Linked DNA regions of Rhinolophus ferrumequinum. The protein of the gene in region 1 interacts with the protein of each later gene in a pairwise test. Links are inferred from orthologs where the notes say so. Each region holds a gene or a part of one and is shown on either strand. Other genes may lie near its edges.

Region 1 (7,453 bases):
AGCATAACTCCCCACTTCTTAAGTGAAGACTGTACATAATATCTCCATCTAAAGAGTGCAGCATAGAAAGGGAAAGGTGAGAAACTTTACAGTGGAGAGACCTGACAAACACTATCTCGACCAGGTGACTAAGATCAACATCAACAGTCATAAATCATGTTGATATTATGTACATTTAATACAATGTGATAAAAACGGCACTTTATTTCTGTGATCTCTCCCCTCAAACCCATATTCACAATCTAATCATGAGAAAAACACCAGACAAATTCCAATTGAGGGGCATTCTACAAAATACCAGACCAGCACCTCTCAGAAGTATCAAGACCATCAAAAACAAGAAAATACTTAGAAAGGTCATAGCCAAGACATGGTTAAGAAGACATAACTAAATGCAATGTGGTATACTGTACGGGATCTTGCAACAGGAAAAAGTAAGAAAATCTGAATAAAGAATGGACTTTGATTACTAATAATATATCAGCATTGGTTTATTAATTTTGGCAAATGGATTGTACAAATGTAAGATGTTAGTAATAAACACTACTAGATGTGGGAACTCTCTGTGTTATCTTCACATTTTCTCTATAACTCTAAAAACAATTTTAAAATAAAAAGCTTATTTAAGAAAAAGTCACAAAAATAGAACAGCAAAAAACATGCCCATCTTGACTTTGGCACTGGATAAAGGAAAGTTCTTTGTCTGGAACTGTGCATCATAAACCGAACCTAACAGTTATTATCTCGTTCATTCATATTACCTATGCTGTCTGAAAAAAATATCCTGCGAAGAATTTAATGTAAAGTGTTTTGGGATTTGTTATGTCCTGAAGCAACTCTCAAAAGCAAAGGTAAATCTTCTCTGGAAGATTCCAAACCTCGATCTTAGCCTCAAACATGTCAGAAATAAAGTTACACCAAAAATTTATCTCCTAGCCAAAAAAATCATAACACACACAAGACAACACGATATGAGTAAAAACTAATGGCAATAAATCGCAAACATTTCAGAACCTGGAATTATAAGACGCAAAATAGAAAATGACTATGATTAATATGTTTAAAAAAATAAAAGAGAAGCTTGGACATTTTGACAGAGAAATGGAAATTATAAAAAGTGACAAAGATGATTTGCAAAATGGCCACATTAATTTTTTTAATTTCAAATTTGATAAATACTTCTTGAGTACCCACTATTTGCCAGGCATGTACTAGATATTTTCACATATATCATCTATTTTTTATTTTCATAACAACAAATAACTCCATTAATAAGTACTAAAGTTGTAAAACCTTCATGTTAAAATATTTGCATTATTTTATCTTTCCCTACACTCTGGAAACTGTCTTTTGATCTGTTTTCCAGTTCACAAATTCTTTCTGCATCTGTATCAAGTCTACACTTACACATATGTTGTGTTCTTAATTTGGGTTATTAGCAATTTTTTTAGCTTTAGAATTTCTATTTAGTTCCTTTTCAAATATAGTGGGTCATTTTTTTATATTAGTGCTCCCTGCAGACTTTTTAAATCTTGTCCTTTACTTCTTTAAGCATACGAGTTCAGACAATTAAGTTTGTGAACTCATCCTAGAAAAAGTGCTACATACCTCATTGCTGAATATCACTATGGTCACCTTCCAAGTACTGCCCTTGGGAAGCTATGTACCTACACCAGCGCCTAGTCTACCCTTCAAAGCAATTTTGGGACTGTTTTTCTGGAATGGCCATCAGAGCTGTCATACCATTACCCTTGATGTCCTGAATGCCATCAAAATGTCTTGCTTTCAATATTTCCTTTATCTTTGGGTAAAGAAAGAAGTCACTGGGGGCCAGATCAGGTGAGTAGGGAGAGTGTTCCAATACAGTTATTTGCTTACTGGCTAAAAACTCCCTCACAGACAGTGCTGTGTGAGTTGGTGCATTGTCGTGTTGCAAGAGCCATGAATTATTGGCAAAAAGTTCAGATCATCTAACTTTCATGCAGCCTTTTCAGCACTTCCAAATGGTAAATTTGGTTAACTGTTTGTCCAGTTGGTACAAATTCATAATGAATAATCCCTCTAATATCAAAAAAGGTTAGCAACATTGTTGCAACAAGTTCAGAAACTTAATTGTCAGACCTTTACTATCCATACTTTTCATCATTTCTGTCTGATTCCAAAATCTGAAGCTTCTGTGGTTCTGTTTTTGGTGATCTGATGTTTCTACTGGTTTTCCTCATTCCTCGGCCATATGTGCCTTATATACTTTCTTTTGACCGTTTCTTATTATATCTTATTCTGACTGCTGTGACCTCCAATTCTCTTTAAGGACTGTGCTCTCGCCAATACCCTGGTCACATTCTTCCCCTCCTTTAAACTCAGGGATTTTTTTTGCTCTCTCCATTAATTTCACATGAAAAGATCTAATAACAGGTACGTTTCAGAGTAAATTTTTCTTTGCAGTTACTTCTTACTGGGGGTTGGAGTGGGGGTTGGGGTGGATATAGGCAGGCCTTTGCATTTTAAGCCTTAAGTCACATCCTGAAATGAAAGCCTTCATTCCTATTAAATTAAACGGGGGCGGGGTTCTATTCTATACTTAAATTTTCTTAAAATACATCACAGTTTGTGTTCTTTCACATGCTTATGTTTTGCAAGTCCTGCCCACACCCATTCTTTCTTTTGAAAATGTGGCTTTAAATACATCTGCAGTTACCTATGCAACATTCTGACTGCTCAAGAAATCTACTCAACCTTAAATTGGAGATAGTTTGAAGAGCACTGGACTTTGAGTAGGATGGTCTAGGTTCTTAGCTACTCTTAGTCTAGATGTATCATCTAGGACAAATTCTTTATTCTCCCTAAAGCTTAGGTTCCTAATTTGCTGAAAGGAGCTATAATAACACCTGTTATACTTGTGTCACATGGTACTTCTGAGCAACTAAGGAAATAATGAACGTGAATGAACCAATGGTAAAGAGCTACGCAGTGTGAGTGATATTGGGCATCCTGAAACTTCAGGAAATTTTCATTCCTAGTTCCATTTTCTCTTCCTCATGTCAGAATAAATACATTGACCCATTCAGTTTAGACAAGAATAAAGAATAAGACTAAGGTTTTCAGAATAATGAAAAGTTTCAAGTTACGATAAAATTATTACTCTCTTCATTCAATCATGATATGAGAGCTATGAAACACTTATTAGAACTAATAACCTGAGTTGCTGTTACACAATTCATCTATGAAACTCAATTTGTCACAAAACAGCAAATGGTTTTTTTGAACCTGAATGGAAGGATTGGAGTCAGTTTTAAATTGATAGCCATATTAAAGTAGCAAATTAATCTTAATGTTATGAAAGTAGAAAGCAAATAAAAGATTTTAAGAATTAGAAATCAATCGACTGTATGTATTGGGAAGGAATTCTGTTACCAAAATAGGTGCAAGAATATTTTCCAAGCACAAAATTCAAGTACTTAAATATATCACTCAAGGTATCAGTAGAAAAAAATGTATACGCACAAATACATGTATATATCCTTTCCTATCATTGCTTTCAAATGAGGACTGTGTGACAGAACTTTTGTCATCAATTATTCTTGGAATTTGGTGAAAAAAGAAAAGAATTTGGAATCAGTCACTCTGTGTTCTGTCCCACTTAGGAACTATTTCCTTCTCCCTAAAAGGGAGGCAAGTCTGCCCCGCCTAACTCACGGAGCTTTTCTAAGGCTCCAATCAATGCACTGTAGGGAAAAGACAGGTACAGCTCTGCTGTTATCGTGACCAGACTAGCTGTCCACTGAGCGATGCTGTTAAAAGAAATCCAGCTACTCCCGACTGGAAGACATCTCGGTGAATTGAAAAGGGAGCTCTCTCTTTACCCCAAGTCTATTTCTTTTTCATATCATTTCAAATGTGGGTGAGAGGGCGAAGGGCCAAGGGGATTGATTTAAAGAACTTGGATGTAGATTCCACCCCCACTCCCCGCTTCTTACACTTTGTTCCTTCATTATTTCCTTCCTTCATTCATTCAACAAATATTTCTTGGACCCCCGTTGGATGCTGGACACCGGGCTAGGTAGGGAGAGCCACAGAAAGGAAAGGACCCGGAATGTGGTCTCAGGGTACCCTTCGTCTAGGGAACAACCAGGCGTAAAACTGAGGGACCGAGAGGTCGCGCTCGAGTGGGTGGTTTCCGTGGCCGTGGAGCCCCCGCAAGGCCTCGCCTGCCGACGCCTCCCGCGGGTTAGCCTATCCCCCACCGCCAGGCCCCCGGGCTGCGAGTTTGGACCGCGTCCCCATGGCAACCAGTGGCAAAGCGGCGGCCTGGCTGCTGGCCCGGAAAGTGAAGCCCTAACGGCTTCGGTGGCCACGCGGCGAGCGGGCCCGGACGGCGGGAACGTGGCGGGGACGGCGGGGCCCCTCGGGGCGGGCGGGGAGGGCGGTGACCCGGGAGTTTCTGCTCCTGGGACCTCAGACCTCTCGGGAGAGCGCGGCGCAGTGTGATGCAGGTAACCCATCCGGGCGTCCCCGGCTTCACCCCCAGATCTTCGTCCTGGCCCCCGGGCGGGGCTCGCTCGGGAGGAGCTGGGGACCACAGCAGGTCGGCCGCTCCACGGAGGCTGGCCTTGAACCCTGCGTGGGTCTGGACAAGGAGGTCGGGGTCGGGGTCGCGGTCGGGCGACAGGTGGGGAGAGCCTGGGATACCAGGATGGTCCTTGCAGAATTCAGAGCAGAGATTCTACCTAAATTACAAGGTCTAGGTTCTAGTTGTGTGGCCTTGGGCAAGTCACCTAGCTAGTCCGTGCCTCAGTTTCTCTGACGTTAAAGTGAGGGAATTCAGAACCTGCAAAACGAATGTATGCTTCTGTCCGTCGTTCCCCATCCCTGCTCCGCGCCCATCGTCTACATACACAATTCCAGGGTCTCTCTGAAATCCTTTGATTTGAGAGTGATGTGAACCTCTCCTTTTTACCATTTTGAATGCTATTTCATTGACTTTTATTCAGTAAATCAGAGGAATTGAAGTCCTATTCAATTCTTTGTCCGTTTATCCTCATAGATGATTTTTCAGTTAAAATTTTGTTATTGGGAAAAGCTTTTTCTTTTTCTTTTCTTTTTTTTTTTTTTTAATTTAGGCAAGCACTAACACCCCTATTTTGTCAAACAGGTAAACAGGTGCCCACAGAACCATTGAGGAATTGTGAATTTTCTATTTTTAGAGAATTCTTAGGGGTTTTTTTGTCTTAAATATTCATGATATTCATTCTAACAAAACCCAGAAAGGGCCAAAGAAAGAATTTACTCAAAGGCAAACTTTTAGAGGATCCACAAGAAAGGAAAGTTTGCAAGCGTTTCGATGGAACAACTCTTGAATAGAAATTCTGTTTTACTCACCTCATGTACTGAGCACTTTTGCAAAGTACCTGGCACCAAGCCATTGCTCAATATACAGTGAATGAATGCTCATTTGAGTCAGTGCCACATATTTCAACTCATCATTAAGCCAATTCATAGCATGGGGACACGGACACACACACATACACATACACACACAGACATGTGCAAGTTTCTACATTTTATAGAACCAAGAGTTACTCCATTCAGAAAAACATAGAAAATGGTTTGCCAGTAGCAAAATTTTCTTTTTTTATAGGTTAATAAATGTAAGCATTTTAGGAATCTAGACCATTTTTCTCCCTAACAGATTAAAAATCAAGAAATTTAAACCAGATGCAGCAGTTTCTTGACATGGAGAACCAAGCCCATAATACAGTGGGGTAAGTGCTGAGAAATTTCTATTTAATAAGTTGTAACTTAACTATGCCAGAAATTCCCTGACGGTACAGGAATTTTGAAATTCAGTATTAATAGAAGAATATGCCAGTTATTTTTGGTGAGGAGGGTGGGGTAAATTCAAGAGACTTTAATTAAGAATCTATAGTTTGGGTCTTTCAAATTTTGACTATGGAGCTGCACACAAAAATCACCATTTTCCAACTCTTAGTGAGTTTTTTAAAATGTTTTTAGGGTGATGGGTGCCCACACTGGCCCCATGTGCCCTTAGGTTTCCACAGTGAAGCAGCTACTGGCCTGCTTGCTCCTATCTTGTTGCACCAGGTGTCTGAGCATCCGCCCACATTTGCCCTGAAAACTGAACTCAATGCTTAAACATAGCCTCAAAACAGATCTAGCTCCTCAAAACAGCAACAAGAACTGGATATTTTACCAAAACTTTCATGAAGACATAAGGAATAGAATTTGTATAGCATTTGCCATTGTTCAGAATTAAATTCCTTCTCACAAATAATCTGTCCCCACCCCTTCCCTGCCAGCAACACCACAAAGGTTTCTGTTCCTATTGTTTTATTAGCCAACTGGCCCCTGGTTGACGCCAGAGCTGGGCAGGGGAGGTGGGGCAGTGGGTAGGCATGGCACTATAGTGCCTAATCCTGACCGACTGACTTTGCACTAGTCAAACCACTGCAGATGTCTCACTTTCAGTTTTTCTGCTCAGATCATGACTTTAACATCAGGCTAAAAGAAAGCTGCCCAAGTCTCAATAATAATAGCTCTCACTGTTTTAAGTCCTCCTGCACACTCCTCCTGCCCTGTTAGGTATTGTTATTTCACAACTAAGAAAATTGAGCACATTAGTTATAGTCTAAGTTCTTGTAACAAAGAGACCCCAAAATACAGTGGTTTAAATAAGACTGAAGTTCATTTCTGTTTCCTGTACAAGCCCAGAGAGAAGCAGACCAGGACTTGTAGGGTAGCTCTGCCATCCTCACTGCATGATTTCCACCTCTGGGCCCGAAGTGATTGCTTCAGCTCCCACCATCATGACTGTGCTCCTGCCAGAGGGAAAGGGGAAGGGCAAGCGGAGAGCTTAAGACCATTCCTTTTAGGAGTAGGACTTTGAAGTCATACTCCTAAATGAGGCAGGCCTCATTTCTGTTCACTCCCTATTGGCCAGAACTTAGTCCCAGAGCTACAGCTAGTTGCATGGAAGGTGGGGAAATGTGGTTTCTAACTGGACAGCCACATGGCCAACTAAAGCTTAGCAGTTGTATAATAAAAGGAAGAATAACGGATATTGGTGGACAGCTAGCAGCCTCTGCCACATTGAGCTCAGAAATGTAGAAAAAAGAGAAATAAAGCAGGATCTTGCCCCAGCGTATACAATTGGTTAGTGGAGGAGGTAAGATTTGAATTCAGATATGTGTGGTGCCAATCCCTGCATTCTTTGCTACATTGGAAATGGATGACAGTGCGATTCAGGGAGCAGTGTACCTAGTATCCACAGGAGAGCCAGGGTAGGATTCTGGATTGAGCAGGTGTGAGGTCCGTGGTGTGACAATAGCACAGAGGGCTAAGATGCAGATTGAAGGTCTCCAACCTAAGGATGGGTAGCAGATATCACTTCACTCCTGCAAATCTGAGGCCTTGGAGACTGATATTTCTCTTCATT
Region 2 (7,582 bases), on another chromosome or scaffold:
GTTCTCAAATAATATCACACCTATAGTGGCTTAGGCAAGCTCTTATCTTTAAAAAAAAAAATTGCATCCACTCTGATTTAAGCTTTCTGTTGTTGTTACTGTATACATTTTTCCTTCCTGTCTATTTTTATCCCATAGATTTTGACATTACAGTATTACTTTTGGACAGTTATATTTCAATTTACTTCAGCTTCTAATAAGGAGAGATGAGGCAGAGAAAAAAAAAAATAACCAAAACCCTGAAACAGAAAGAGTGGACCATGCAAAATAAAACTTACATAGCTCCAAACAGCATTCTGAAAACCCAAATTTGTTTAATTGTCAGTGTCTGGATTTCAGTGATCAAGCTGAAATTTACTGAACTATTCCCTCCTCGTCTTGCCTGTTTTGGAGTGTTTCAATTGCCTTTCCTTCTTCCAACAGCTGTGACAACTGTTAAAACAGTCAGTAAAATTAAGTCCGCTCTATAATCCTGTAGTCAATGTTACATTTTAATCAGAGGTTGAAAGGGATTCATGTGATGAGCACACTCATTTAGCATGATTAGACTGACACGTATGTCAAAATGAGCAGATATATTATTTTCATCTATTTATGCTATCAGTTATTACTGCTATTAAATGTGAAACAAGCTTTCAAGTATTATGTTCTTTAATGTGCTGGCCCATTTCCTAAATTAAAAAAAAAAAAATACATAGTTATAGGTTAACATTTTAGGCTCTTCTAACGGTGGTCAATAAATTGTACGAACCTTTTTTTAATCGCCTCCGAAGCAGAAATTGTCCAATATTTTCCTGTGAAACTGCATAACTGGTTTCATTTCTATGTATACACACACGTGATGGGGTTTAACCCAGTACAATTACTATGAATATTAATAGCATGTATAAATTCTAGGGTTTATTAATTGAGACAGAGAGGCAGATGTGTTGCTTAGCATTAGATCTTTCTGTCTGTCCAGTGAACCACGTAACCATCAGAACTGCATCCAGACAATAAATCTGTATTTTTTTTAAAGATGACTTTTAATGGAGCCCAAAAGAAAGCTAGTTTGAATCTTGCGCCAAAGCCAAAAGGACATGTGCCCTGATTTCATTTAAATGCATCTGCTTTAAGAGGCTTATCTAAACCAATTATTCAAATTAGCTATAAAAGTTAAATTCAAGGAAACTACTTTAAAAAGACGCCTCTAGGGGATTTTTAAAGTTTCTTTTATTTCTTTATTTAAGAGAGAAAAGTTCAGAACCTGGGTGAGTTCGGATAATGTGTTCTTCCTGACATGAAGACATTTTAAACTCTCCAATTCTCCAGTCCCCAGTCCTCTAACCTTCACCCTACATTGGAGTGCGCAGTCCTACTTTTGTTTATTTTTCATTTTTATTTTCACACAGTTTAAGCTTGTTTCTCGAGTGTTTCCAACTGATGGAAGCACAGCCTTCCAACCTTTCAGCTCTTCCTAAGTCTACCTCTTGGCTAATATCCTCTGCATGAGTGTGTATATGAGTCTGTGTGTGTGTACACACACACACACACACAGCCACTCAGGCTGCAAGTCACTTTCATCTCTTACTTAATTACAAAGCAGTGCAATATGCAATCACTAAGGACAGCTAGTGGACATTTCCCTATAATGCACTGCCTCATCTTCTACAGTTTTATATTTTCTCCACAATCTATAGAGAGAAATGTTTGCCAAGAGCACTCTTTTCAGAATTATTATAACAGTTGATATTAATGTAATCTGAAAGCAAAGCAATATAACTGACTCAACAGAAAGATGGACCAGTGACAGCTCCAGTGACATACTAATATTTTATCTTAACAGTGGGTTGAAATTAAGTTTATGACCTACTCATTTATACAGGAATGCCTAATTTACTTCACCTAACCCCCTATCTACCCCACCTTTACTAATCCAAATATATAGATCCATGGGCATAAAGATGTTCATAAATACAAATTAAACTGCATGTAAGAACAAAACTACTTTTCTATATTTTCTGGACATGAATCACGAAACAAATTCACAATCTCAACAGAGTCTCTTCAAGGGGAAATTTTAAAAGTCACTACTGTTTCTTTAGGGCTTTTTTTCTCCCTTAAATATTAATAATGTGTGAAAATCTCATGTTACTTAATGGACTGATTTGTCAGTTAAGTGCTGACTTAACGCTAACCATGCAAATAACATTATTCTAGCCCTGAACTGCAAAGGGCTAGTTTTTAAATTGTTTTCTGAAGGAGAATTAGTAAATGTGCAATTTTGCCTCTAACTCTGCCGGGTTAAGAAATGACAGGGCGCTGAAAATATCTGTCAAACTGCACATCCATAAGAAGCGCTCCATAGTATAAATCATTTTGAATATTGTATTTTAAAACATCTTTCCTTGGGAAAATGGGTCCTAGGAAAAGATGCATTTTAACAGTTCACTAAGCATTTGTGCCAAGTGCCTATTCTTAGCACCTGAATAAGAAGTGACTGTCACACAGCTGTTTTACGGACAGTCACTGAGCTTCGCCTCAAAGGTAATATTGTAGTCAGAACAATTCTCGACTTACTGAATTAGGAGATCACGCTCCACACAAAAGGCACCAGACAGACGCAAACAAGCACAGTGCACACAAAACACCCAGGGCATTACCTGAATCAGTGTGCAAAGAGACATTCTGTCCACCCCCCTCCACACACACACACACACACACACACACACACACACACACACACACACTGAGACACACGCACCCCCACGCCGAGTTTTAAAAAGGAAAGAAAAAGGTACCTACTCTTCCTCGTAGTGCAGGGAAAAAGATTCAGGGAGGCAAAGTTCTACCGAATCCATGTGCGACCGGCAACCATTATGTGTGCACCCCAGCTATAAATCAAAGTTTCCTTGACAGAGCACAGTGCAATTAACACAAATGTTCTCCTAGTGACAAGCCTATAGGCACGGCCAGTTGGGACCAAAGCTCTCACACTCTCCTAATCAAGGACTTAAAGCCCCGATTGGAGCTTATTAATATGAAGTAGGGCTTTACATATGCAGTCCCACTGGCCCAGCCGCGCAGCCGATTGGGGGGCGTCTGCCCAATCAGGAGGGAGGCCACGGGAGGCTGCACCGAGCAACGCAGCCAGGCAGGTAGGACGGGTGCAGACAAGCAAGGGGTGAAAACAGAGTGGGAGAGAAACAGAGAGCCAAGACCAGGGATAGAAACGCAGTCTGTGGATCCTGGGCTTCTGCTTTCCTCTCTTTTCTTTTTCCTTTCCTTTCCTTTCTTCTTTTTTTCTTTCTCTCTCTCTCTTTTTTTTTTTTCCTGGGAAGCTGCCAAAGAAACATAACTAACTTAACTCTCTAAGCACTGGAGGCATTGGGTTTCTCTCCTACGTAAGATCCGTTTTGCCTTGCAAAGAAGAACTCACGCAGACTCTCAGTTAATTTGGGAAAGGATTCTGCGGGAAGGTAGAGAATGAAGTTTGTCCTGCGGTTGTGTGTGTCCTACTCCACTGGGGGCTGCGGCTTATTGAGCGCTGTACTTTCTCGTGCATTCGTCATCGTGTCTTTTCCTGTTTTCCTGATGTAGACGGGGCAGTTTAAAGAATCAAAGATATTCTTCTCAATTGTTGGGGCAGGTGAATGGAGATCTCATCTTTGAGGAGGAATTCAGTTTTTCACAAGTACAGAGTGGGGAAATAGTGCCTGGAGACAATTTTGAGAGGATGCCTATTTAAATTATCTGTGTAAACATTTCTTTACCTGCTGCTGTCTCCCTACCTATAGATATACGATGCATAGCTTTTCAAAACTGCAGGACAAATTGGCTTTTCCACTTTCAGGGATGGGAGACTGAGAACTGTAGTGTAAATGGTACCTAAAATCCATCTCAGAGCATTTTGACAAAATAAAGGCTGCATTTTTTATTTTTTATTTTTTATGGTAGGGAGAGCATCACAAAATAGTGCACTCCAAGTGTTCTCAGTCATATACTTATTTCAATACAAGCTTCCAAACTAGGAGACATATACAAATATATATGATTTTACCCAAAAGATCAGCTTTCTAATAAAAGGCTGTTTACATATTTGTTCCTATACATAATACACCCTGAATACTTTAAAAAAAATCAGCTCAGAAATATTTTGGAAATCATCACACAGTCTGATCATTATAAGGACTAGCTTCAAACATAATAATTTACAAAAATAAGAATTCTCAATAAAAAGTATCTTTTTCAGAGAATATAAGAAGAGGAGGGTGTTTTTTCCTCCAATAGTATATAGCGTGTTTTCAGTTTCCACGTGACAAAGAGTTTTGTTAGGTGCTATTTTAAAATACAGGATTTTTTAGACTAGCAAATGTACTTGGAATAAATACCACCTATTTATGGCAAAGAGATGACTGCTACCGTATGGAGAGTGGAAGTCTCACAATTTTGATATAATGCAGTGCTACTGCTTACCAACCTTTTGTATCAAATGTCTTACATGACATAAATAGTATAATCTTTGAAATTAAAATAAATTAATTCAGATAGTCAGCGTGTGTTAAATTCACTAAATCAGAACTTGATTCTTTTTCTCAATGCTCTCAAATTTTCTAGGTCTTCAAAAAACAAAACAAAACACAATACAAAAATAGAACAACCACATTAAAATGCAGAATATAAAAACGACAGGCATCATTTGGTCCCCCCACTGAAAAAAAGCAATTTTTCTACCATGTATTTAGTCAGAGCTAAGATACAGGCCTGATTCCTTTTATTTGTGGTTTAAATACATACAAGTTTCTAGAGGGGAACTCACATAGCAAAAACTGTGCCTGAAAATACTGTATAAAAGCAGGTAGTAAAAGCTTAATTACTAGTAGCATTATGCTGTCTATATTGTTAAATGTGAACTCTGCAATTAAGATGTAAATTTGGTTGTGAGTAGTGAATTAAAAGAGCTTTGAGATGTAGAATATCCAAGCATTCTGCAGATACCAAGGAGTGGGGGAAGATTTGCCTATTCAATCTAAAATGAGACATGGAATCACTTTGTAATTAAAAAATAAATGAAAAGGCATTTGAAAAAGAAACATGATTTTTCTGAAATACAATAAAAGAAATATGGAAGCTAATACTGCATTATAAAGACAGCTTAAAAAATATCTTTGATTCAGATTACTATCTTGACTTCTGAATAAACTGAAATCTTCTGGGTACTGAATGGATCCAATTGTTACATATTTTTAAAAGATTTACAAAAAAAAAAGTTTTCTTCTTACTTTATCCAGAGACCTACTTAAAAATAATAATAATAAATTATTTAATGGATCGACGCATTCAGATTCTGCACCTGTGCAGAATCCTGTACTGCCGTCAGTTTCTTTGCATTATCATGCTGTGACAGAACCTGTTTATTCCTCCGTCGAAATGGCTTTTTAAAGACAAGATTTGTCGTCAATTATTTACCGATGGACCTTAAGTCACCACATTTCACAGGAGTTATCTTTTATTTCCCAGAATTTTCTTATGCCCTTTAGGTACTTATTTGACCCATTATGAACCATTTGATTTTGTTAGTATATATAGATTTTTAACATGGTTAGACTCATATTCATGTGTACGTCTTTTTTCTGTGCTCACAGAGATCCATGTACAAGCGTCCCCAGTTTAGTCCCCATTGATCTCTCAGGAACCATATTTCATCTATGCAAGGTGCAGTGTCCACTAAGCTAGCTGCTTTCCGAATGACCAGAAGTGCACTAGGTTTTCAGAGCTCTCTGTTTTCCCCTTGGGATTAATATGTCACCTCTACAAGTCCAGGACCTAAGATTACACCTACTGTCTTGAATCCAGTTTAACCAATTTAAAATTTAAAATGATCTCTATGGCCCTAAACTTGTGAGATAGCCTCCAGAATATTTTCTAAACACATAGCTTAGTCAGTTCAAGAATCTTCCCGAGTGATAGAGTTTTCTCATCTTGAAAGAGGAAAGAGCGGATAATCACAGGAAATATACACAGCACGAGCAATACTGGGCATAAACCGTTAAGAGTCACAACTTCAAGGATTTGGGGGCGGGAAATGAAACAAATAGATAACAGCCTAGAATAACACATTTTGCTAACACTTCACAATCTTACCACAAGGAGTCTACCCAAAGCAGGATACATGGGACCAAACAAAAGGACCTCTTCGGATTGTTTCACAAAGAATATTAATAAATTAGTTAATATCAGTCTATTATGCATCATGCCCAGTGTCCAATCATAGTGTCAACATGTTCTTCAAACAATATAGTCCCACAATCCAAACAACCGCATTCTTAGGCGCCAAGTGACACAGGGACACCAGGCAGAAAATGTATTTCGTTTCCATTTGAAACAAGGAATGGCAATAAACAAAACTGAAGTGGAAACAAAAGGTAGATAGATCCCTGGTGTCTATAGCAGAATTTTTACTGTATTTTAATCAGCATCATTTCCTAAAACATTCTACTAATGCATACTTCTGTTGCTAAAAGGTGATGAGACCGCTTCAGTCTTGCTATCATTACTGCATATTAACAGCTATTTCTAGGTCCCACTTTCCTTTTCTGAAAATTAACAGGACTAACCTGAATTAACATGCATATAGTCACTGCCCTAATGTTGGAAGCAAATTTTGATTTTTGTATTGCACAGGTGCCATTTGTTAAATATTTAAAACCCAACGAGGCATCGCAAATTTATAGATTTTTTTCGAATTGCCTCGTAATCTACCTCTGCAGATCTTTCCCCCAGATCATAAAACCTTTGAAAAGCTGTTTGGCTTTTTGAACGCTCTTTCCTGCTGTCTTTCATATAGCGCACGTTATGTAACATACCAATGCTACAGAAAGCAAACCAAGACTCTTATAAACTCCTAACTTTAACACCAAAAGAAAACACACAATGAGGATCCCTGGAAAAAAATGCTTAGAGGACAAGCAGGAAGCCTGAAGCCCAAACTCCCTTCTGCCCCGTCATGAGTTGTGTGGCCTTGAGCAGGTCACCTCACTGATCTGTCTCTAGTTTCCTCCTCTGGGCCTTGGGATTTCTTTTATGCTGGAAACCTGCTTAACATACTTTTCCCACTGAGATCACGAAGCCGTCTTGCGACGTCCGTATGCCTACTTTACTCTATATTTCCACCAAACCTCTATCAATTCATCATACCTCATTTTCTGTTGCTTTTCATTTCTAGGGCACAGGCTTTGATATTTAAATTATTGTCTCGATTGGCAAGAAGCAATCATGTCTACTGAAAATGATCACTTCCACAGAAGCACTAATAAAATCCTCTCCTTTTGACAAACCACTTGTCCTGTAAATCCATCCCATATCCAAATTACTGAGTCCATGTTAAAAAAAAAAAAAAAAAAAAAAAGGCCCATTCTCTGGGGGGCAATTACATCACCTCAGTAACACACCAAACACTTTTTCCCAGTGTGTTTGTGAAAGAGTGGGGATGGAGGGGGGTGGGGGGGTGGAACAATCAAAGGAAGACAGAGAATCTAATAGAGGCAACCCAGTTTCTGTTTAATTAATTCAGGATTATTTCACTTTCATTTTGTCAAGCTAA

Evidence for each region. The genes of interacting proteins can lie anywhere in the genome.
Region 2: the proteins of DEUP1 (region 1) and ESRRG interact in binary tests that used the Homo sapiens proteins (3 or more experiments, as listed by UniProt). The two-hybrid records come from large-scale screens. The link is inferred for Rhinolophus ferrumequinum from reciprocal best matches to the Homo sapiens genes DEUP1 and ESRRG.

The regions. Positions count from the first base shown.
Region 1 is NC_046294.1:64,567,656-64,575,108, forward strand, and holds the start of DEUP1 (deuterosome assembly protein 1), read left to right. Parts: upstream 1-4,450; 5' UTR 4,451-4,493; intron 4,494-5,689; 5' UTR 5,690-5,715; coding exon 5,716-5,762; intron 5,763-7,453. UniProt on the Homo sapiens protein: Key structural component of the deuterosome, a structure that promotes de novo centriole amplification in multiciliated cells.
Region 2 is NC_046310.1:8,615,121-8,622,702, forward strand, and holds the start of ESRRG (estrogen-related receptor gamma), read right to left. Parts: upstream 3,014-7,582; 5' UTR 2,841-3,013; coding exon 2,785-2,840; exon of another isoform or gene 2,781-2,784; intron 1-2,780. UniProt on the Homo sapiens protein: Orphan receptor that acts as a transcription activator in the absence of bound ligand. Binds specifically to an estrogen response element and activates reporter genes controlled by estrogen response elements.